Linked DNA regions of Saccharomyces cerevisiae S288C. The gene in region 2 interacts genetically with the main gene of each other region. Each region holds a gene or a part of one and is shown on either strand. Other genes may lie near its edges. The genes, in order: YLH47, MGR2, MGR3 and AFG3.

Evidence for each region.
Region 1: mutations in MGR2 (region 2) and YLH47 together harm fitness more than expected from each alone (negative genetic interaction), as found in Saccharomyces cerevisiae (2 studies listed by BioGRID).
Region 3: mutations in MGR2 (region 2) and MGR3 together harm fitness more than expected from each alone (negative genetic interaction), as found in Saccharomyces cerevisiae (3 studies listed by BioGRID).
Region 4: mutations in MGR2 (region 2) and AFG3 together harm fitness more than expected from each alone (negative genetic interaction), as found in Saccharomyces cerevisiae (2 studies listed by BioGRID).

What each region holds. Positions count from the first base shown.
Region 1 is NC_001148.4:784,922-790,490, reverse strand, and holds YLH47 (Ylh47p), read right to left. Parts: upstream 2,531-5,569; coding exon 1,166-2,530; downstream 1-1,165. Other genes in the region: YPR127W (pyridoxine 4-dehydrogenase), read right to left, coding at 1-408; high-affinity Cu transporter CTR1, read right to left, coding at 3,063-4,283; AXL1 (Axl1p), read right to left, coding at 4,820-5,569. UniProt on the Saccharomyces cerevisiae protein: Involved in mitochondrial potassium homeostasis through the mitochondrial K(+)/H(+) exchange regulation.
Region 2 is NC_001148.4:363,726-368,149, forward strand, and holds MGR2 (Mgr2p), read right to left. Parts: upstream 1,003-4,424; coding exon 661-1,002; downstream 1-660. Other genes in the region: INA17 (Ina17p), read right to left, coding at 1-343; tyrosine--tRNA ligase MSY1, read left to right, coding at 1,227-2,705; ERI1 (Eri1p), read right to left, coding at 2,804-3,010; PNG1 (peptide-N4-(N-acetyl-beta-glucosaminyl)asparagine amidase), read left to right, coding at 3,202-4,293; EEB1 (medium-chain fatty acid ethyl ester synthase/esterase), read right to left, coding at 4,346-4,424. UniProt on the Saccharomyces cerevisiae protein: Required for cell viability in cells lacking mitochondrial DNA.
Region 3 is NC_001145.3:495,732-500,901, forward strand, and holds MGR3 (Mgr3p), read left to right. Parts: upstream 1-1,972; coding exon 1,973-3,478; downstream 3,479-5,170. Other genes in the region: FOL3 (dihydrofolate synthase), read left to right, coding at 1-551; YMR114C (putative peptide hydrolase), read right to left, coding at 612-1,718; 40S ribosomal protein RACK1 ASC1, read right to left, coding at 3,725-4,147, 4,421-4,957. UniProt on the Saccharomyces cerevisiae protein: Component of the mitochondrial inner membrane i-AAA protease supercomplex, which degrades misfolded mitochondrial proteins. Together with MGR1, functions in an adapter complex that targets substrates to the i-AAA protease for degradation.
Region 4 is NC_001137.3:189,003-194,091, forward strand, and holds AFG3 (AAA family ATPase AFG3), read right to left. Parts: upstream 2,787-5,089; coding exon 501-2,786; downstream 1-500. Other genes in the region: microtubule-binding protein BIM1, read left to right, coding at 1-309; kinetochore-associated Ndc80 complex subunit SPC25, read right to left, coding at 2,957-3,622; ISC1 (inositol phosphosphingolipid phospholipase), read left to right, coding at 3,795-5,089. UniProt on the Saccharomyces cerevisiae protein: Catalytic component of the m-AAA protease, a protease that plays a key role in proteostasis of inner mitochondrial membrane proteins.

The DNA.
Region 1 (5,569 bases), 420 kb from region 2:
TTTCGTGCATAGGGAAGTGTCGATTCTTGCGACTTCGAAGATGTCGATGTAGCCACCAATAGCACTAACTGAATTCTTTACGCTTTGTACAACATCATCGTGACTGCCTCTGGGGGTTAAGGTAGCATTGTCTGCACCACCTTTACAACTGATAACCACATCCTTTCTCAAATCTGGGTATTTCGCAAAGAAGTCGTGAACATACGACAAATTAATAAAATCGGGACCATAGAATTCACCAACGTTGAAAAAGGCCTTGTGCCCACGTTCTCTGGATAACTCAACCACTCTGTGCATGGCCTCGAAAGCCTGCGACTGAGGGATAGGCTCGGCTCTCCAAGTCAAACTCATTAAACCATAGCCAGTATCTAACTTGTGGATGTTGTTTTTCAAATCGGCGACAGACATTTTATTTTTACTTTTTTTGGTGTATATTTTAGTTAATATGTACCTGTTTTTCTATTCTACATAACATAGAAAATGGCAAGGAAAATAATTTTAAGAGAGAGTCCTGAGATGAAGTAAAAAATTTGGTAAATTGACAACCCCTTATATAATAAATGCCTATTCTACGGTTCAATAGACACTCTATTCTTTGAGTAATTTTGAGGGAGAGCAGCAATGATTAACTTAGTACCGTTCTACCAAGTACGCCCTTGATTACCTCATTAACGAACAAAAACGCAGATCCCTTCCTAAGGCGGCCGAGACGGCCGCTTCATCCGTCTCGGCCGGGTGTCATTCTTCTAATATATTTGGTAAAGGACTTGGGAGATGCGCAAAAGGGAGATAGTTGCGCTTTTTTTTTGTCTAACAACTAACGGGTAAAAATGTGGACAGCACGAGGAGTAGTTTAAGAAATAACTTTAAAAAAAAATATTGGCAAAGCAGATATGCAAGAAGTTACGGGTAAGGCTTCTAGTAGTCGTGCATGTGTTGATCCCCTACGTTGATACTATCTATGTGTGCAAACACCAGCTTTACAAACAAAAATTTCATATAGTAGTGTATTTTATTTATCTTATGTACAAAATCTATAGTAGAGTTCACTACATTTTCTTTTCATTGCTAAAAAAGCAGTTTCGTGCAAGTATGTATAAAAAGAATGTTGGCGAGAGTAGCGGAGAGTGTATCGTGCGGTTTAATGGGCCAGGTGAAAACTGGGTTACTTCTCTTTGATGGCAGCGGCTTCTCCGATAGGCTTGGTGTCATGCGGTTTTACGTCTGGAGCAGCCGCATCTATGTTCTTGTCTTGGTCGTCCAAGCTCAACTCATCCTTGACGCTCACAATGGCGTTCTCTTCTTGCTGCTCTTCTTCCTTCATAATTTCTTCTTGCTCCCTCAATTGTTTCAATTTTTGCTTAGCGGATGCCTCATCTTCCTTAACGACGTTTACTTTAACCTCATGGTATAGTTCATCAGGGATACCGATTAAAACGTCACATAATGCGTCGTACAATGACTCCTTTGATTGCACATTACCGTAGTTATAGGCAGTAGCCATGATTAACAGCGTGGATGGGATCTTATCCTTGAGCCTCATGTTCAGCCACAATCTTAGATTCGAATATAACACGCTAGGCTCTACGTCTACACTTCTAATACCTCTGGAGGCGCATGCTGTTTTCAATTCAGAGAGGGAGAGTTGTTCTGCATCCTCGTAATATATAGATAGATCATCTTTTTTCAATTCAAGCATTTTGTATCTGATACGGTAACGTAGCATCACATCAGTGCCGAATGGTTGCAAATTCATATACTTCGCTAATGCAATCAAGTAAGGTCTTGTCACATTATCCAATACAGTATCATCAGTGAATAATCTAGCTACTTCGATTAGCTGTTGACGAGACTCCGGCACTCCTGTAGCACGGACATGTGTGTAGAACCTGTTAAACAAAGCTTTTTGTTCCTCGGAAATATTATTAGGTTTAAAATGGGACTTGTTATTCTTTATGATTTCAGACATTAACTTCCTTGTGTTTCTTAAATTTTCTAGTTTATTCTCGCGTTTTTTACTTGATTCATAAGTAGAAGGAAGTAAATTGGGGAATAACTTTAATGCAAATGGAAGAAGAAGTTCAGCAAAGGGTATAATGAGGAAAGCAGCAAATGGAACCAACCGAACGATATCTTGAGTAGTTCTTTTCAGTTGTAAATTTTCTCTTCTCGTCAATGGGTAGCCTGCAGCACTCTTCATGAGCAATTTGGAAGAAATTTTTATCTCCAACCCCAAAAGTTTGGAACCATCCCAATAATGACGAAGGGCTTTTTGCATCTTAACCTTAAAGGGTACTTTTTCCTTCTCTTTTACTGGAGAGACCTTACTCGCACTTTCTTGGTTTCCGTCTGTCGTTTTTAACTCCTTTTTCGAGCTTTCTGGCACCGAAGAGTTCCAACGATTGAACTTCAAATTAAAAGATGGTATTACTCTCAACCTGCTTACCATAATACGGGGAGAAATTGGAGTAATTCCTGGTGCCGGATGATGGATTGCTCTCTTGATTGGCAAAGACCTGTATTTCAGCATTGTGTCTTGTTGATTTCTTTATGAAATTTTCTTTACTCGAACCTAAATATCACTGGCAAAATACTTTCAATTCGACAAGTGTTACTTTATGCAGTTATCTTGTTATTTCGAAAATTGCCACTTTGCCAATTAGATGAGACTGACACGATCTGAATAATGTCCTCTTTCAAATAAAAGTGGAAAATGTTCGCGCGGAAGCAATTCTGTCCAACGAGAAAAAAGAAACGTGGGAGACAACGGTAACTCGATGAAGGCAAGCAAGTATCATTTTTAACACTTCACTCTTATTATTGCAAGGTGGTAATATAGTTAAGGATTTTTGAATTAAAATTACTTAGACATTCAACTATATACAAGTCTGTTATTTATAGGAAGGTCGCTGTGTCTATTATTTTCTTTCCTCTTCATGAGGGCATTAGAAGTATCCATTTTGAGATTTTTTTTGAGCTTCTGAGAAATGAACGATATTCTTATTTTGATGTATAGAGATATTGGAAGAAGAAGATATAGGTGGACGAACCTTGTCTAGTTATTAGTTATGAGTGAATTTTTCGGCCGGAAGTAAGTTTTGATCCATATTCCCGGACTGTTCCTGCAACTTGGAATTCTCAAGGATGTCGCGCTCTATGTTTGCTTGATTCTTTCCTGAGTCTGTGGCACAATTACATCCCTCTTCTTGTGTAGGTGTTTTCTTTTGATTATTTTCGGAAATCGCAACTTTAGATTCGTTGTTCTTTTCCAGGCGAGTACTTTGATCACTTCCGGAAGTGGTATCGGCAACAGCAATTGGATCAGGGCTGGGTTCGGGATGTCTACCACATTGGCAGTTACCGAAGCCAGGACAGCTCTTCGCTTTCTGAATTTCTCTTTGGATGTCCCACCTCTTTAGCATGGCTATTTTGCATCTATTGAAGAAGACTTCCGATAAAGCTAACCCAGTAATTACAGCAAAAACGTATGTTAAAACAAAAGACATGGTAGCAAGCATCAACATATAAATAATCATCGTAGAGGTAAATACTAAGAACGCCCTTATAATGTCATGAAAGAGATCCATTAAAGATGGAACAAATATATCGCTTAATAAATTTGGCAGCTTAGGTAAACCTTGAATTTCAAAATTATTCTCTGTGTCATAATGTTTTCCTTCGTCTTTGGAGTTTGCTGAAGGTAAAGTGGAATATTTATTTTGCTTGTCCCATTTTTTAAACCAGTGAACTTCAAGGCACCAACTAACGAAAAGCAGTAGTTTGTAGACGAAAGCAGCCACAACAAATAATAAGAAAATACCGAAAGCCTTACCACTATTGTTTGCATGCAAATGGTGAAACAAAACTGGATAGTTTTTATATGTGGGAGTCAGATAATAGTTCATTCCCATACTCATGTCCATATCCATCCCTGAAGAGCTACTGTTATCAGACGATGACATACCTGACATGCCTGACATGCTAGAATCAGAAGTTGTCTGTGCACTGGCGGAGCTTGTTGGTGTACTGCTCATCGACATAGACATACCTGACATTGAACTGCTTCCCATCGACATACTTGCCATTGACGACATAGTCGACGCCAACGTTTTGCTCGCACTGGACATCGCTTCCATGCTCATCGATGACATGCTCGATAATATCGTTTTGCTGGCACTAGACATCGCATCCATGCTCATCGACGCCATACTCGATGCTACTGTCTTGGATGCACTAGACATGGCGTCCATATTCATGCTGCTACCCATATTCATACCTTCCATTTTGAATGTCAAATATAATACACTTTTTTTTATTTTCTATTCGATTCTTCCAACAAATGTAATTTGAGTCGCCGCCGAACTATTACTCCACCTGTTTAAGTTTGTGCTTAAAAGTTTTGTTATGCAAATAAAGCTATGGAGTAGTTGTTTATTAAGAGCACACTGCGTATCTGTTTTACTAATGTGAACTAATCATAAGAGGAATAAAACATACAAGACCCTCTCGAGATGACAATACAACATTTTTTATGTTGCATTTTGTAGCCCGAATCTTGAAAAGTGCTCTTTTCAGGATCGTGCCATTTTTGCTCATTTTACCGTCGTCTTGAGCAAATATCCCATGATTTGCATCAATACATGAGAACATAACCACAGTAACGAATAGTTGAGGTGCAGTTTCGATCCTTAAAAATTACTGAATAATTCATATGCTATTTAGGGAAGTATTTACGTATCGGTTTGTAGTATAGTAGGGAAATGTGCCAAGTTGCTTAGATAACAAAAACGTGGAAAGGCTGGAACGAGCAAAATACGGTTCAAAATGCGGCCTTGCGGAAAAAGTTTGGTTCAGGAAGCTCCTGAAGAGGAACAATCGGACTTGTGTCGTTGTTCCAAAATTTTTCTATTTCTTGTCCTTCACCATCTTGGGAAGAAAACCCTAATATAGAGCCGTATCTCTGCTTAAGATTCATTCCGATGATTTTCAATATTTCCTGCAATACAACGGTTCCGAGCTTGAAAACTTCATTTCTCCTACGAAAATAAGTAAAAAGGTTCTTTACAAGTAAAATAGGATTTCCCTTTGAATGTTCGACAATTTTCTTCAAGTCTTCATTTTTTATGGCGAATCCGTTTATTTTCAGAAAGGCCTCTAGCTGAAGGAACATTTTCCTGCTTGCAATTTCCTTCTCTGCCATTGGACTTGTGATCATTATTGATAGCTTACTTCTTTGAGCGGAATATATAGAGATTTTGGACTCGAAGAATGCTAAATATTTCTTTAGAGTTAATTTTTGCAAAAATGAGATATCAATCATTTCATGATCTTCTTGAAAATTAAGCCTTCCTTCCGCAATTTTATTTCTTACCTTCCTATGTTGTCTCATTTGTTTATTGTTGAGAGTGTAATTATCACCATTTTGCACATTTGCCACTATCTCATTTAATAGGTCTACAGGACCAGCCGACCCTTCAAACTGTTTCGTACTGTTCTGTTTTAAAAGATTTAAGAACGGCTCTAGAAGTATCCTTCGAAAATCAAACTCGGTGAATCTATTTAGCACCTG
Region 2 (4,424 bases):
CCATTAGAATGAACATCCAAAGAGGCCTAATAAATCTTTTTACAGGGATCTCATGTCCTGATTCTTCCTCTTGCGAGAATTTTTTGAGCATATCTAACTCCTTTTTGATATTTAATTTTGTAGTATGCTCATTAATCAAATCGCGTATCAGTTCAGTATCAACACCATCCAAAGAATCCAAATTAGCCAAGTCTTCTAGGCTCTTGATTTCTTTCTTCGGTGACGTTGAAACAGCTCTTCGTTGTTGGTTGAGGAGGCGCCTGTGGTAATAGGCAACGGTTGTTATGGGAAACAATTTAGTTCTACTCAAAGTAATGAGAGCATTAGAGCGTCTTTTTAACATATTGTCTATTATATGCTTTGGTTCCCATTTCCTTTCTCAAAGTTTACAAATATAACAGAGTGCTTAGCGAATACTTTATTTTATGAGTCTTGCCGTTAGTGACCCCACCCAAAATAAGATGCAAACCGGTATACATATTAGACATTTCCCACGTATACAAATATATTAAGTAAATAAGCCTCGTCGTGATGAACTTAAATACATGGTATTGAGAGAGTTATAAACAGGTAGATAGATATCTTAAATAAAAATAAGCAGATAAGTAACAATGTTTAAGAAAACGATGGGGAAGCGTAAATATATGCAAAATTTCCCCCTCAGTCCTTACGTATACCGTATTTGGCACGAAGCTTCCACATTTCCAGTCTTGCCTGTTGCTGTAGGTTCAGGTTAGGATGGGACATTGGACTACTTTCACTATCACTTCTGATTATAGACCCGATGGACATAAATAGCCCAAAGGTACCCGCTGAACCAGCAATGTATTTCCCTAGTGTTCTAACTACACCATCAGGACCTGGGCCTTGAGTTGCGATGGCAAATCCACCAAATAGGATGCCTGTGCAGACACCGACGGTAGTACCCATCATCAACCCCATTTTGAATTTGTCCCAATTCGAAGGCTGCTGTTGCGCATAATTTTGTGGAAGAGGAGGCATTATATCTTAATATTGGACTTGAAGCTGTTGCGCTATTTGTGCTATATGATCTTGTGTGGTGTTCTGTGCTTCCTTCTTATGGAAAAGTAGTGGAGTCTGTTTGGTAATGTTGGTCTTGTTCGGGAGTTTTGAAAAGAAAATAAAAAGTGGTTGGCTCATAATGTTAAGAAAGAATTTCCAGTTTCCGATTGAACACAGCAATCTACAGGTAGACATTGTGAATCATGCTCGAATTACGAAGTTGTAGTAATTTGGTCAATAGTAGTAGGAGACTTGTGCCTCTGGTGACTTATTCCGGACTAAGTGCAATAACATTGCCTAAATCTCGATTTTATTCACAGCCTAGTGCTTTAGAAGTACAGGGCACATCGGATTCTCGAAGCGATAATATTTTAGACGAACTCAAACAAAGGGGTCTAGTGTCCCAGGTCTCACAGCCAGAGAGTTTCCTTCGGACGAAGTTGAACGGTAACGATAAGATCAAATTATACTGCGGGGTGGATCCCACAGCTCAGTCACTTCATTTGGGAAATCTAGTTCCACTAATGGTTTTATTACACTTTTACGTAAAAGGTCACGACATTGTCACTGTGATAGGTGGAGCTACAGGGAAAGTTGGGGACCCAAGTGGTAGGAAAACAGAAAGAGACGTTATGGAGAACGATATTAGGCAAAGCAATGTGGCATCCATCTCGCAGCAATTACAAAGGTTTTTCAAAAATGGCCTAGAATATTACAGAAACCGATGTGCTCTCACTGAAGATGTACCTTCCGGAAAATATACACCAAGGAATAATTTCAACTGGTGGAAAGACATCAAAATGTTGGATTTCTTAGCTGATTTTGGTAGGCACATTCGGGTACAATCTATGTTGGCGAGGGATTCAATTTCTTCGAGGCTTCAAACCAAAAATGGTCTGGGATTTAACGAATTTACTTACCAAGTTTTACAAGCGTACGATTTTTACCATTTGTATAAGGAAGAGAATGTGACTATACAAGTAGGTGGTAACGACCAATGGGGAAATATAACAGCCGGTATCGATCTCATCAATAGGATACAGCCTATAAAGAATAAGGGTTTGCCATTTGGTATCACTGTGCCCTTGTTGACGACGGCTACAGGAGAGAAATTTGGGAAAAGTGCAGGCAATGCTGTTTTTATTGACCCCTCAATCAATACGGCGTATGATGTTTACCAGTTCTTTTATAATACTTTGGATGCTGATGTACCCAAGTTCTTGAAGATCTTTACGTTTTTAAACTCAAGTGAAATCAAAAAAATTGTGGAAACGCATATCAAATCACCCAGTCTACGTTATGGCCAAACTTTATTGGCTAAAGAAGTCACAGATATGTTATATGGAGTTGGCTCCGGATCGGATTCAGAAGCGCTTTCTAATATTATTTTTGGACGTTATGACGGAACTTTATCTGCTGCGAAGTTAGTTGATCTATGTAAAAAAGCCAGAATTTTGCAGTATGCTGATAGAGAGATTGACTTAATAAAGTTAATTTGTAAACTAGTAAATTGTTCAGTATCAGAAGCCAGAAGAAAACTTTCCCAGGGAAGCGTGTATCTGCATCATTCAAAATCTAAAGTAAACGAAAATATTTCTAACTTGGCTCCTTTCCTGATAGATGATCGAGTACTGATCTTGAGGATAGGAAAGCAGAAGTGTTTTATAATAGAAATGCGTTAAAAAAAAGGGAGGTATATAAAGTACATGTATAAAATAGGCATGCGTGAGGTGATATTATATCATTTTATGCACTGACTTGTAAATAAGATTATAAACGATTATTCATCTTTACTACTTGCGAACATTTCACTGTCACACCAGGCTATGAGGGCCCACAGCCAGAGAGTCGCAGGGCATAGCAGTAATACACACCAGTAGTGCAGGAAAGAGTCATTGTTGCGTAACCAGTAAAATGTAGCAAGACTAATTAGGAGTACCGAGTAAGTAAACCCTAAAACCAAAAAGCCTTGGTCACGTGGTCTCATGCGCTTATAAATTCTCAATCATGTAATTGAAACAGTCCTGTTGCCTAGTTTCAACTGTTCTATGCTTCTTGATGTTTTCGAAACTTTGCGTAGTGTAATCTTCCTTGTATTGTAGCGAAGAAAAAAGGATGCGTTGGGAACAGATATAGAAGACGTAAAACAACCTGAAGAAGGTAACAGGTGGAGTAGCAATGGGAGAGGTATACGAAAAAAATAACATAGATTTTGATTCAATAGCCAAAATGTTGTTAATTAAGTATAAGGATTTCATACTGTCTAAATTCAAGAAAGCTGCACCTGTAGAGAATATAAGGTTTCAGAATTTAGTCCATACAAATCAATTCGCACAAGGAGTCCTAGGTCAGAGTCAACATCTCTGTACAGTCTATGACAATCCTTCATGGCATTCTATAGTCCTGGAGACATTGGATCTGGATCTAATATATAAAAATGTTGATAAGGAATTTGCCAAAGATGGGCATGCAGAGGGGGAAAATATATACACGGATTATCTAGTAAAGGAGCTGCTTCGCTACTTCAAACAAGATTTTTTCAAATGGTGCAATAAACCAGATTGTAATCATTGTGGCCAGAACACTTCAGAAAATATGACACCTCTGGGCAGTCAAGGGCCCAATGGAGAGGAATCTAAATTCAATTGCGGAACTGTTGAGATCTATAAATGCAACCGATGCGGAAATATCACTAGATTTCCTCGTTATAACGATCCAATTAAGTTGCTGGAAACTAGAAAGGGAAGATGCGGTGAATGGTGCAATTTATTTACTTTGATTTTGAAGTCGTTTGGGTTAGATGTTCGCTACGTCTGGAATAGAGAAGATCATGTTTGGTGTGAATATTTTTCAAATTTTTTGAATAGGTGGGTTCATGTCGACTCCTGTGAGCAATCATTCGACCAACCATATATCTATTCAATTAACTGGAACAAGAAAATGAGTTACTGTATTGCGTTCGGTAAAGATGGCGTTGTTGACGTTAGTAAACGCTATATCCTCCAAAACGAGCTGCCCAGAGATCAAATCAAGGAAGAAGATTTAAAATTCCTTTGTCAATTTATAACGAAGAGGTTGAGGTATTCGTTAAATGATGACGAGATATACCAACTTGCATGTCGCGATGAGCAGGAACAGATAGAGCTGATTAGAGGAAAGACACAAGAAACGAAATCCGAAAGCGTCAGTGCCGCTTCGAAATCATCTAATCGTGGTAGAGAAAGTGGATCGGCGGATTGGAAAGCACAGCGTGGGGAGGATGGTAAATAGAGAAATAAAAGAACAGATTATTATGTGTAAGGAATTTTATCTAAGAACATATTTATAAAACTAACTCATCAAAGCTGCCCAAGAACTCGGCAGCTTGCTTTGTTAACCAGGAATTACTTTCATTGTCGAGA
Region 3 (5,170 bases), on a different chromosome or scaffold from region 2:
GTATGTTAGACTACTTACAAATGAACGAACTTATTGATATTACCAAGAATGAAGTAAGTACGAGATTGGCGAAGGTTGATTGGCCAGGAAGGTTATATCGTATGGATTATCGCTTTGACAAAGTAAGTAATAGGACAGTGCCTATATTAATGGACGGTGCCCACAATGGCTCAGCTGCAGTAGAGTTAGTTAAGTACCTAAGAAAGGAGTACGGAAACCAGCCTTTGACCTTTGTGATGGCAGTAACGCATGGGAAAAACTTGGAGCCGCTGCTCCAGCCATTATTGAGGCCTATAGATCAAGTAATTCTTACTCGGTTTAATAATGTGGAAGGTATGCCCTGGATTCATGCCACTGATCCTGAAGAAATAAAAGATTTTATTTTGACTCAAGGATACACAAAGGAGATAGTGATTGAAAATGATTTACATCAGGTATTGCCTTCTCTGGCGCATGTATCAGACGAGCAAAGACGGCCAATTGTTGTATGCGGTTCACTGTATTTATGTGGTGAATTATTACGGATTCACAATAGTCACTTGAGAAACTAAATAAAATAAGTAACAACGAACATTATATAGACTATCGATGATAAACAAACTAAAAAAATGTCATTTTTTTATTTTTTTCTTGCCTCTGGAGTCTTTCTGGTTTCCCAACATATTTACTATATTTCTCTTCTCTCTGTTTCCCTCTCTTTTGGGTGACAAATTAGCTTCTTCTCTCTTCACTCGGTCACCTATACTTCCTTCCTCTGGTAAAGTTGTTTCCTCTTGTTCTTCATTCTTTTTTAATCCATCATAGGAATTCCTTTTGAGGCTTTTCTTTTGATTAAAAACATCTTCGCCTTTCAACGATTTGTCACCCTTTACACCTCGATTATCAATACCTTGTTCGTTATCATTTTCTAGCAAGGCTTCTTCTTTTTCTCTCTTTACGCTGAACATGTCCGAATCCTCTTTCAAAAGCGGTTTTATCAGCCGCTCTCCGGTGTTGGTAGTCTTCCCCACATCATCGGTAACTTGATAGAATTGTAACTTTGATTCATCGTAGTCCGGCTTCAGCAGCTTTACCAGTTCTTCAGTGCTCCATGTCGTTTTATCCACATCCATCCATGCATCCCAACTTTCGGTGCCTGGTTCCAGCACGCAAGGCATTCTTTCGTGGAGCCATTCTAACTCTCTGGGGCCTTGTGCAGTTATTATGGTGAACGTATATAAATCATCCTTTTCGACGTAATCATACATTCCTGCTACAAACATCAATCTGCCGTCTCGTCTAGAAATGAAATAAGGCGTCTTCTTTTTCCCTACGGTTTTCCATTCAAAATATCCGCTCATAAGCACAGCACACCTTTTCTTCTCACAGGGTCTCATCCACATTTTGCTCTCTTGTAAATTCTCTAAACGGGCATTAAAGGTACGATAGGTCTTGAATTGTGAAACGTCCTTGGTCCAGAATGGTACAAGGCCCCATCTCATAAATTGTATTGCTTTAGTATCAGGACGATATACCGCAGAGTAGTTTGTAGGGGAAATATTGTAAGAGGCCTTGAAGATATCCTTACTAACGGTAGGCTGATCTTTGGTGTCTTCCTCGTCATGTGGATGCTGGCTGTTCGATGAGGCGTCCTTGGGTGTATTAACCGGTAAGTTCCAATCTCTTAGAAGTTGCGGCAAATCTCCGCTATCGTAAGCTAAGGCAAACCTACCACACATCTTGGGTTATGAAAGTCTGGTATTAGCATCAGGTATACTTTAATTAAGTCTCTTGGTTCAACTGTTCATTGCTTTGTTCCCTTTTTTGATCCCTTTCATTCAGATATTTTTCGTGGGGGTTCGGCCTCACAAAATTGCATTTACAAATCATCAACATTTTTATGCAAAAGTGGGCTACTTTCATTTACTCACAAAGGTGTAAACACAAGCAGGAAGATCTCAGTTTAACAGGCTAAAAGTCCCTCCTTTTCGGTATGCTTTTACAAGGAATGCGTTTATCGCAAAGGTTACATAAGAGACATCTATTTGCTTCCAAGATTTTAACGTGGACTACGAACCCTGCTCATATACGCCACCTACATGATATAAGGCCGCCTGCATCAAACTTCAATACGCAAGAATCGGCCCCCATACCGGAGTCTCCAGCAAACTCACCAACTCGACCACAGATGGCACCTAAACCCAATTTGAAAAAAAAAAATCGTAGTTTAATGTATTCTATTATTGGGGTTTCCATAGTAGGTTTATATTTTTGGTTTAAAAGTAACTCCAGGAAACAAAAACTACCTCTTTCGGCGCAAAAAGTCTGGAAGGAAGCCATATGGCAAGAAAGTGATAAAATGGATTTTAATTACAAAGAAGCGTTAAGGCGGTATATTGAGGCGTTGGATGAATGCGATCGCTCTCATGTCGATTTATTGTCAGATGATTATACCAGAATAGAGCTGAAAATTGCTGAAATGTATGAAAAGCTCAATATGCTTGAAGAAGCCCAAAATTTGTACCAAGAATTATTAAGTCGGTTTTTCGAAGCGCTGAATGTTCCTGGCAAAGTTGATGAGAGTGAAAGAGGCGAGGTTTTAAGAAAAGACTTGAGAATCTTGATTAAATCGTTAGAAATCAATAAGGACATAGAAAGTGGCAAGAGAAAATTGCTACAACATTTACTTTTAGCTCAAGAGGAAATTTTAAGCAAATCGCCAGAGTTGAAGGAATTTTTTGAAAACAGAAAAAAGAAGCTCTCGATGGTAAAAGACATCAATAGAGACCCTAATGATGATTTTAAAACATTTGTTAGTGAGGAAAATATTAAGTTTGATGAGCAAGGCTATATGATTTTGGATCTGGAAAAGAATAGCAGCGCTTGGGAACCCTTTAAGGAAGAATTTTTTACTGCGAGAGATTTATATACAGCTTATTGTCTGTCATCAAAAGACATAGCTGCAGCTCTAAGTTGCAAGATAACTAGTGTGGAATGGATGGTTATGGCAGACATGCCACCAGGACAGATATTGCTATCACAGGCAAATTTGGGGTCATTGTTCTATCTTCAAGCAGAAAAGCTAGAAGCTGACTTAAATCAATTAGAGCAAAAGAAAAGTAAAGAGTCCAACCAAGAGTTAGATATGGGAACATACATAAAAGCCGTTAGATTCGTACGCAAAAATCGTGACTTATGTCTGGAAAGAGCACAAAAATGTTACGACAGCGTTATTGCGTTTGCCAAAAGAAACAGAAAAATTAGGTTTCATGTGAAGGATCAACTGGATCCTTCAATTGCACAGTCAATTGCTCTATCTACCTATGGAATGGGGGTTTTAAGCCTTCATGAAGGTGTTTTGGCTAAAGCTGAAAAACTATTCAAAGATTCGATCACTATGGCCAAGGAGACTGAATTTAATGAACTCCTTGCAGAAGCTGAAAAGGAACTAGAAAAGACGACAGTCTTGAAAGCGGCCAAAAAAGAGGGTTTAAACTAATACCACAATAAAGGAAATAAAGGAAGACAAAAATAATAAATATTTCAACTGTACATATGTATTTTCGCAGCAAACAGAAAGCATAGTTTATAGTACCTAATGATAACCTTTCTTTCATTACTTCGAAATCTATGACGATTATATTATACACTAAAATATAGAAATTATTTTCTTTATTTTTACCATTTTAAACATGACCAATAACTAGAAGATACATAAAAGAACAAATGAACTTTATACATATTCTTAGTTAGCAGTCATAACTTGCCAAACTCTAATGACGTTGTCGGTGTAACCGGCAAACAAAGTTTGACCGTCAGCAGACCAAGCCAAAGAAACAGCATGTGGTTCAGCGGCCTTGCTGTAACCAGCAAATTCTGGTCTCAAGTCATCGACCAAGTATTGTGGGTCCAAAGAAAAGACCTTAATACCGGTAGCAGTGGCAGCAGCCAACCAGTATCTGTTTGGAGAGAAAGCCAAAGAGAAAACTTCATCTTGGGCAGACAAAGTGTACATAGCCTTCTTAGCAGCCAAGTTCCACAACATAATTTCACCGTCCTTACCAGCGGAAGCAATCAAAGTTCCGTCTGGGGAAGCAGTCAAAGTGTTGATGTTGGAGTTGTGACCGATGAAGTCAGCTTCAATTTGGAATTGGTTTAAGTTCCAAGCCTGTCATTATATCATTTTTGTTAGTAAGGGAACAAAATTAATTTAAAAAAAAAGTTTCCATTTTGACATAACGAGTAAAGAGAAGAGCAGAGTAATGCTAAACCATTCATCAGAGATCTTGGTGATAATTGGTATGTCTCATTCGGAACTCAAAGTTCCATCTGAAGTAGCAAATATGTTATTACATCATTTGAATGGCATACACAAATCCACTTTTCTTCTTCTACTCGATTGTCATCATATTCTATCATGGAAAGAAAATATATCACATACCTTAACCATTTTGTCGTTACCGGCAGAAATGATGGTGACAGAGTCATCATCAGCTTTTTCGTTTGGAACAACTCTGACTTGGGAAACCCAGTCATTGTGACCCAACAAAGTGGCCAAACATTGACCTTTGATGGTCCAGACCTTGATGGTCTTGTCACGGGAACCAGAGATAATCATGGAAGCCTTCTTGTCAATGTCAACGGACATAACATCGGACTTGTGACCGACGAATCTTTGGTAGGTTTCACCGGTGGCAACATCCCATAATCTCAAGGTCTTGTCCCAAGAAGCAGACAAAGCGTAAGCACCGTCAGCAGTCAAAGTACAGTCTTGGACAATGTGACTGTGACCCTTGAAAGATCTAACTGGGACACCAAACTTTTGGTCGTCACCAGTCAACTTCCAGGAGATCAAAGTCTTATCACGGGAAGCGGACAACAATAGGTTTGGTTGACCAGCAGAAGTAGCCAAAGATGTGACCCAACCGTTGTGACCTTCCAAGGTACCTCTCAAAACTAAAACTTCGTTAGATGCCATTTTTCACTTTATTTACTTTAGTGTGTTATAAGGATTTTTTGGAAAAAAAAAAGAGAGAGAGAACGAGTTAGGAAAACCAAAGGAGCAGTCTTAAATATAGGAAAATTTTCAAGTTGTAGAAAATCCACAATTAAAGGAATAGCCCAATGCCAAAAAAATTGGTCTTACACATCCAAAAAAAAGTTGCGTGGATGAAATTTTTTTCAACAAACG
Region 4 (5,089 bases), on a different chromosome or scaffold from region 2:
TATAAATTTAATGATGAGACCATCACCGGCCATGGTAATGGAAATGGGGGAGCATTATTACGGTTCGTCAAGAAGGTGGAAAGTATTTTATATGCTACTGCAGAAGGATTTGAAATGAATGATGGTGAGGATGAATTGAATGATAAAAATCTGGGTGAACATGGAACTGTGCCGAATCAGGGCGGCTATGCGAACAGCAATGGCGAGGTCAATGGTAACGAAGGTAGTAACCATGATGTGATAATGCAGAACGACGAAGGTGAGGTTGGCGTGAGCAACAACTTGATCATCGACGAGGAAACTTTTTAAGTTGAGAACTAAAAAGCAGTATTGTTTTCGAATATGTATTATTTTTTTTTATTTTTTTTATTACTCGTTATCAATATATATATATACATGTATATTATTACTAAAAGAATGAGAAAATAAGATAGGATCCTGGAAGGGGGATCAGGTAAAGATATAAAGTGAGATGAAGAAGCCACCGTTTTATTTCCCCTTTAATTTGTTGCTGCAGGTGCCTCAGGCGGTTCGGTATTGCTCTTTGGATCCAAATATTTTTCAAAAGCCTCGTTCCTTTCCTTGAATGGCCTTGGACCCAATAATCTAATCATGTCTTCTCTAGTAATTGCTTCCTTACGTAGCAATTCTTTTGCGACAAGATCGACTTTGTCCAAATTTTTGGTTAGCAATTCTGTACAAGCTCGGTGTGCATCATCTACTATAGATTTAACTTCTAAATCAATGGTTCTTGCCGTTTTATTACTGAAGGGTTTGTTAACTTTGAAGTTTCCATCATTCTGATCAAACGACAGGTAGCCAATCTTGGGTGACATTCCTAGGGATGTAACCATGGCATTTGCCATCTGTGTAACCTTTTTGAAATCATCATGAGCACCGCTAGTCACCGATGGAAAATGTAGCTCCTCAGAAACACGGCCACCAAGAGCCATGATCATTCTATGTCTGAATTGCTCCTCAGATATCAAATATTGATCCGGTGGTAGGTACTGGGCATAGCCTAAAGCACCTTGTCCACGCGGGATGATGCTTACTTTCAGAAGTGGATCCGCATATTTTAGAAACCAACCACAAACGGCATGTCCTGCCTCATGATAGGCCACTGACCTTTTTTCTTCCTTAGAAAGGACTCTTGTTTTCTTCTCTAGTCCCGCAATGACTCTTTCAATGGCTTGCTCAAAGTGATGGATAGTGATATATGGGTCATTATGTCTGGCAGCGATTAATGCAGCCTCATTACAAGCATTAGCGATATCTGCACCAGTAAAACCTGGAGTAAGCGTAGCCAATTTCCCAGAAAGATTATTCATATCATCTGTAAGAAGGGGATCCAGATTCAGTCTTTTCAAGTGAACCAGGTATATTTGCTGCCTACCATTGACATCAGGAGAATCAATTTGGATATGTCTATCGAACCTTCCCGGTCTCATCAAAGCATTATCCAACACATCGGGCCTATTTGTACCCGCAAGGACTACGACTTGGTCGGAAGTAGTGAATCCGTCCATTTCCACCAATAATTGATTCAGCGTAGCTTCTCTTTCATCGTTAGCGCCACCGAGAGCGCCGCCTTTGCCTCTTTCTTTACCGATAGCGTCAATTTCATCTATAAAGATAATCGAGGGGGCCATAGACCTTGCTTGAGTAAACAAGTCTCTTACACGTGAAGCACCCACCCCAACGAACATTTCGACGAACTCAGAACCTGATACTGACAAGAAGGGCACGTTCGCCTCACCTGCGGTGGCCTTGGCCAAGAGAGTCTTACCGGTACCTGGGGGTCCAGAAAGAATAGCGCCTCGTGGAATCTTGGCACCCAATTTAGTGTACTTACCTGGGTTCTTCAAAAAGTGAACAAATTCCATGATTTCCTGTTTAGCTTCATCACAACCGGCAACATTTTTAAATGAAATTTTAATGTCTGTTTCCTTATTGAAGAGCTTTGCTCTGGATTTTCCAACATTAAACATGCCGCCGAGGCCTCCTCCACCACCACCATTGGCATTTGGTGGTGAACTATTTATTTTTCTGGTTATGAAGTAAAGGCCACCAAGCAGAATGATGGTGGGCAGGAAGGGGAACAAAAATGTGAAGGGAGAAGATCTCTCAATGTATTTGATGGGGATACGATCCCGAGGAGGAATGTTCAAGAGGTCCTGGATCTGGTCCATCTGTTCCTCAAAAATATCTACTGAACCAATGGTGAACGATACAACTTGCTTTGTATTGACTAATTCGGCCTCTACGAGAAACTTATTAACGACGTAAATCTTGGACACAAGACCCTTCTCCAGGTATTTTGTTTTGAAATCCTGGAAAGTCAAGACGCGGTTAGAGTCGTCTCCTGAGTTGTTACTGGAAGGTGTGAGCAAAGTAAATATAATTGTGAATCCGATGGTCAAAAACATCGTATTAGCAAATTCCTTAGATCTGAAGTATTCTGATAATGAACCAAACTCATTTCTTTTGTCTTTGCCATCTTCTTTATTGCTATTATTATCTTTATTACCATTGTTCTTGCCCTCACCCTCTTTGTTTGGCCTATTTTCATTTAACCTTGTCCATGAGATATGGAAGGAACGTATTTGGGTAGAACGGTGTATTGTGTTTCTGGTTGCCAGACCAGATAACGTCTGCAAACGCTGGTGAACTGGCATGCGCGAGCGAAGCACTGGCTTCACTGTTGATATGCGGCTAGCTTTACCAAATGAGAGTGATGTCAATGAGCGTGGCGCACCCCTTGCATATCGTTGCCACATCATCATCACTTAGTATATTATAAAATAAGTGGATGATGCCTTTATTTGAAGACTGCGTTAATCTCCTTTAATATAGAATGGGTCCTTGTAAAAGTTATGTATAGACAGTAAGAACCAATTTATTCCTCATCTAAATCATAGGCCCAGAATAAACTGAACAGATGCGTATAAAGGCGTTATAAAGATGCCAGAAGCATATCGCGGGCCACGACTAAAAATGCCGCGAGGTCGCCCTGGACGGTAAGCACGTGCTCAAGTGTTGCCCGACTCTTGGGGTCCAGCGCCGGGTGAGAGTTTCCGATCACGTGGTCTCCGTGCATCGCGACTTCGATCCAGCAGCGTGAATCATCGCCGAATACGAAACGTACGTCATGCACATCGCTGGCTCCGGGTAGTACACGAAGCTGCAACAGCCGTTCGTACAGTGCGACCTCTGCGGCATCGTTACCCGACTGCGCAGCCCAACGTGCGCGTAATTGGACACACTCTTTACCACGCTGTTGCAGCAGCGAGTCCAGCTCGCGCGATTGGGCTGCTAAGGTCGACTGCCGTCTAGATAACTCAGATTCACGCTCGTGATAGCTTCTCCACTGCTCTCTGGTGGTATTTGTAGCTTGTTGGGCCGCATGTATTTGTTGCTGCAGAGCGGTGCGCTGGGTGGCAAGCCGTTGCAGTTCATCTATGAGATGTTGGTGTTGGTTATGTAATTGACGCATTTCCGCTTGGAACTGTTGCAGCTGTTGGCGCGCGTGGTTTTGCTGACGTGCCAGTACCTGGGCCACGTCCTTTTGGAACCCGTCCATCCGGCGCTCAAGGTCCGAAAATGCGTCTATGCTGGCCATTCTTGTATGTGTGTATGTGTTGTATACGTATGAGCGGTTTTAATTGAATCGGCTTAGCCTGTTTTTGTTTTTGTTTTTGTTTTGTTTTGGTTTGGTTTGATTTATTTTGGTTTGGCTTAAATCTTCGAGGAAATTTGCGCTTTCCGCGTAAAAAGGGAAAAAAAGCAGATATATGTACAACAGAAAAGACAGAGATGTTCACGAGAGGAAGGAAGATGGTCAATCTGAGTTTGAAGCACTGAACGGGACCAACGCAATTATGTCCGATAATAGTAAAGCGTATTCCATAAAGTTTCTGACCTTCAATACATGGGGGTTAAAATACGTCTCCAAACACCGTAAAGAAAGACTCAGAGCAATTGCTGATAAATTGGCGGGCCACTCAATGCTTACGCCAATATCTGACGAGTTGTTGCCCAATGGTGGAGATAGTAATGAAAACGAAGATTACGACGTGATTGCCTTACAAGAAATCTGGTGTGTGGAAGACTGGAAGTATCTAGCTTCTGCGTGTGCCTCCAAGTATCCGTATCAGCGTTTGTTCCATTCTGGTATTCTGACGGGGCCTGGGTTGGCCATACTGTCCAAGGTCCCGATAGAGTCGACCTTTCTTTACCGGTTCCCGATAAACGGTAGACCGAGTGCGGTGTTCCGTGGCGACTGGTACGTAGGGAAATCTATAGCAATCACCGTATTGAACACAGGAACCCGCCCCATTGCAATAATGAACAGTCACATGCACGCCCCATACGCCAAGCAGGGTGATGCCGCCTACTTGTGCCACAGATCTTGTCAGGCCTGGGATTTCAGCAGGCTCATTAAGCTTTACAGGCAGGCCGGTTATGCGGTGATTGTGGTGGGTGACTTAAACTCCAGACCGGGCTCACTGCCCCACAAATTTCTCACGCAGGAGGCCGGCCTGGTCGACTCCTGGGAGCAATTGCATGGGAAGCAAGACTTGGCGGTGATCGCTCGTCTGTCTCCATTGCAACAATTGCTTAAGGGCTGTACCACGTGCGATTCGCTGCTCAACACATGGAGGGCCCAAAGACAACCCGATGAGGCATGCAGGTTGGATTATGCTCTTATCGACCCTGATTTCTTGCAAACAGTAGACGCAGGTGTCAGGTTCACTGAACGGATCCCTCACCTGGACTGCAGTGTCTCTGACCATTTTGCATACTCATGCACCCTTAACATCGTCCCACAGGGCACAGAGTCCCGTCCATCCACCTCCGTTAAGCGTGCGAAGACTCATGATAGAGAGCTGATCTTGCAGAGATACTCCAACTACGAAACCATGATAGAATGCATCCACACGTACTTGAAGACAGCCCAAAGACAGAAATTTTTCCGTGGCCTACATTTCTGGGCCTCAATACTTCTCCTAATAGCGTCGTTGGTCGTGACAACGTTTACTGCAAACAAGGCAGGCTGGTCCTCCATCTTCTGGGTCCTTTTCGCTAT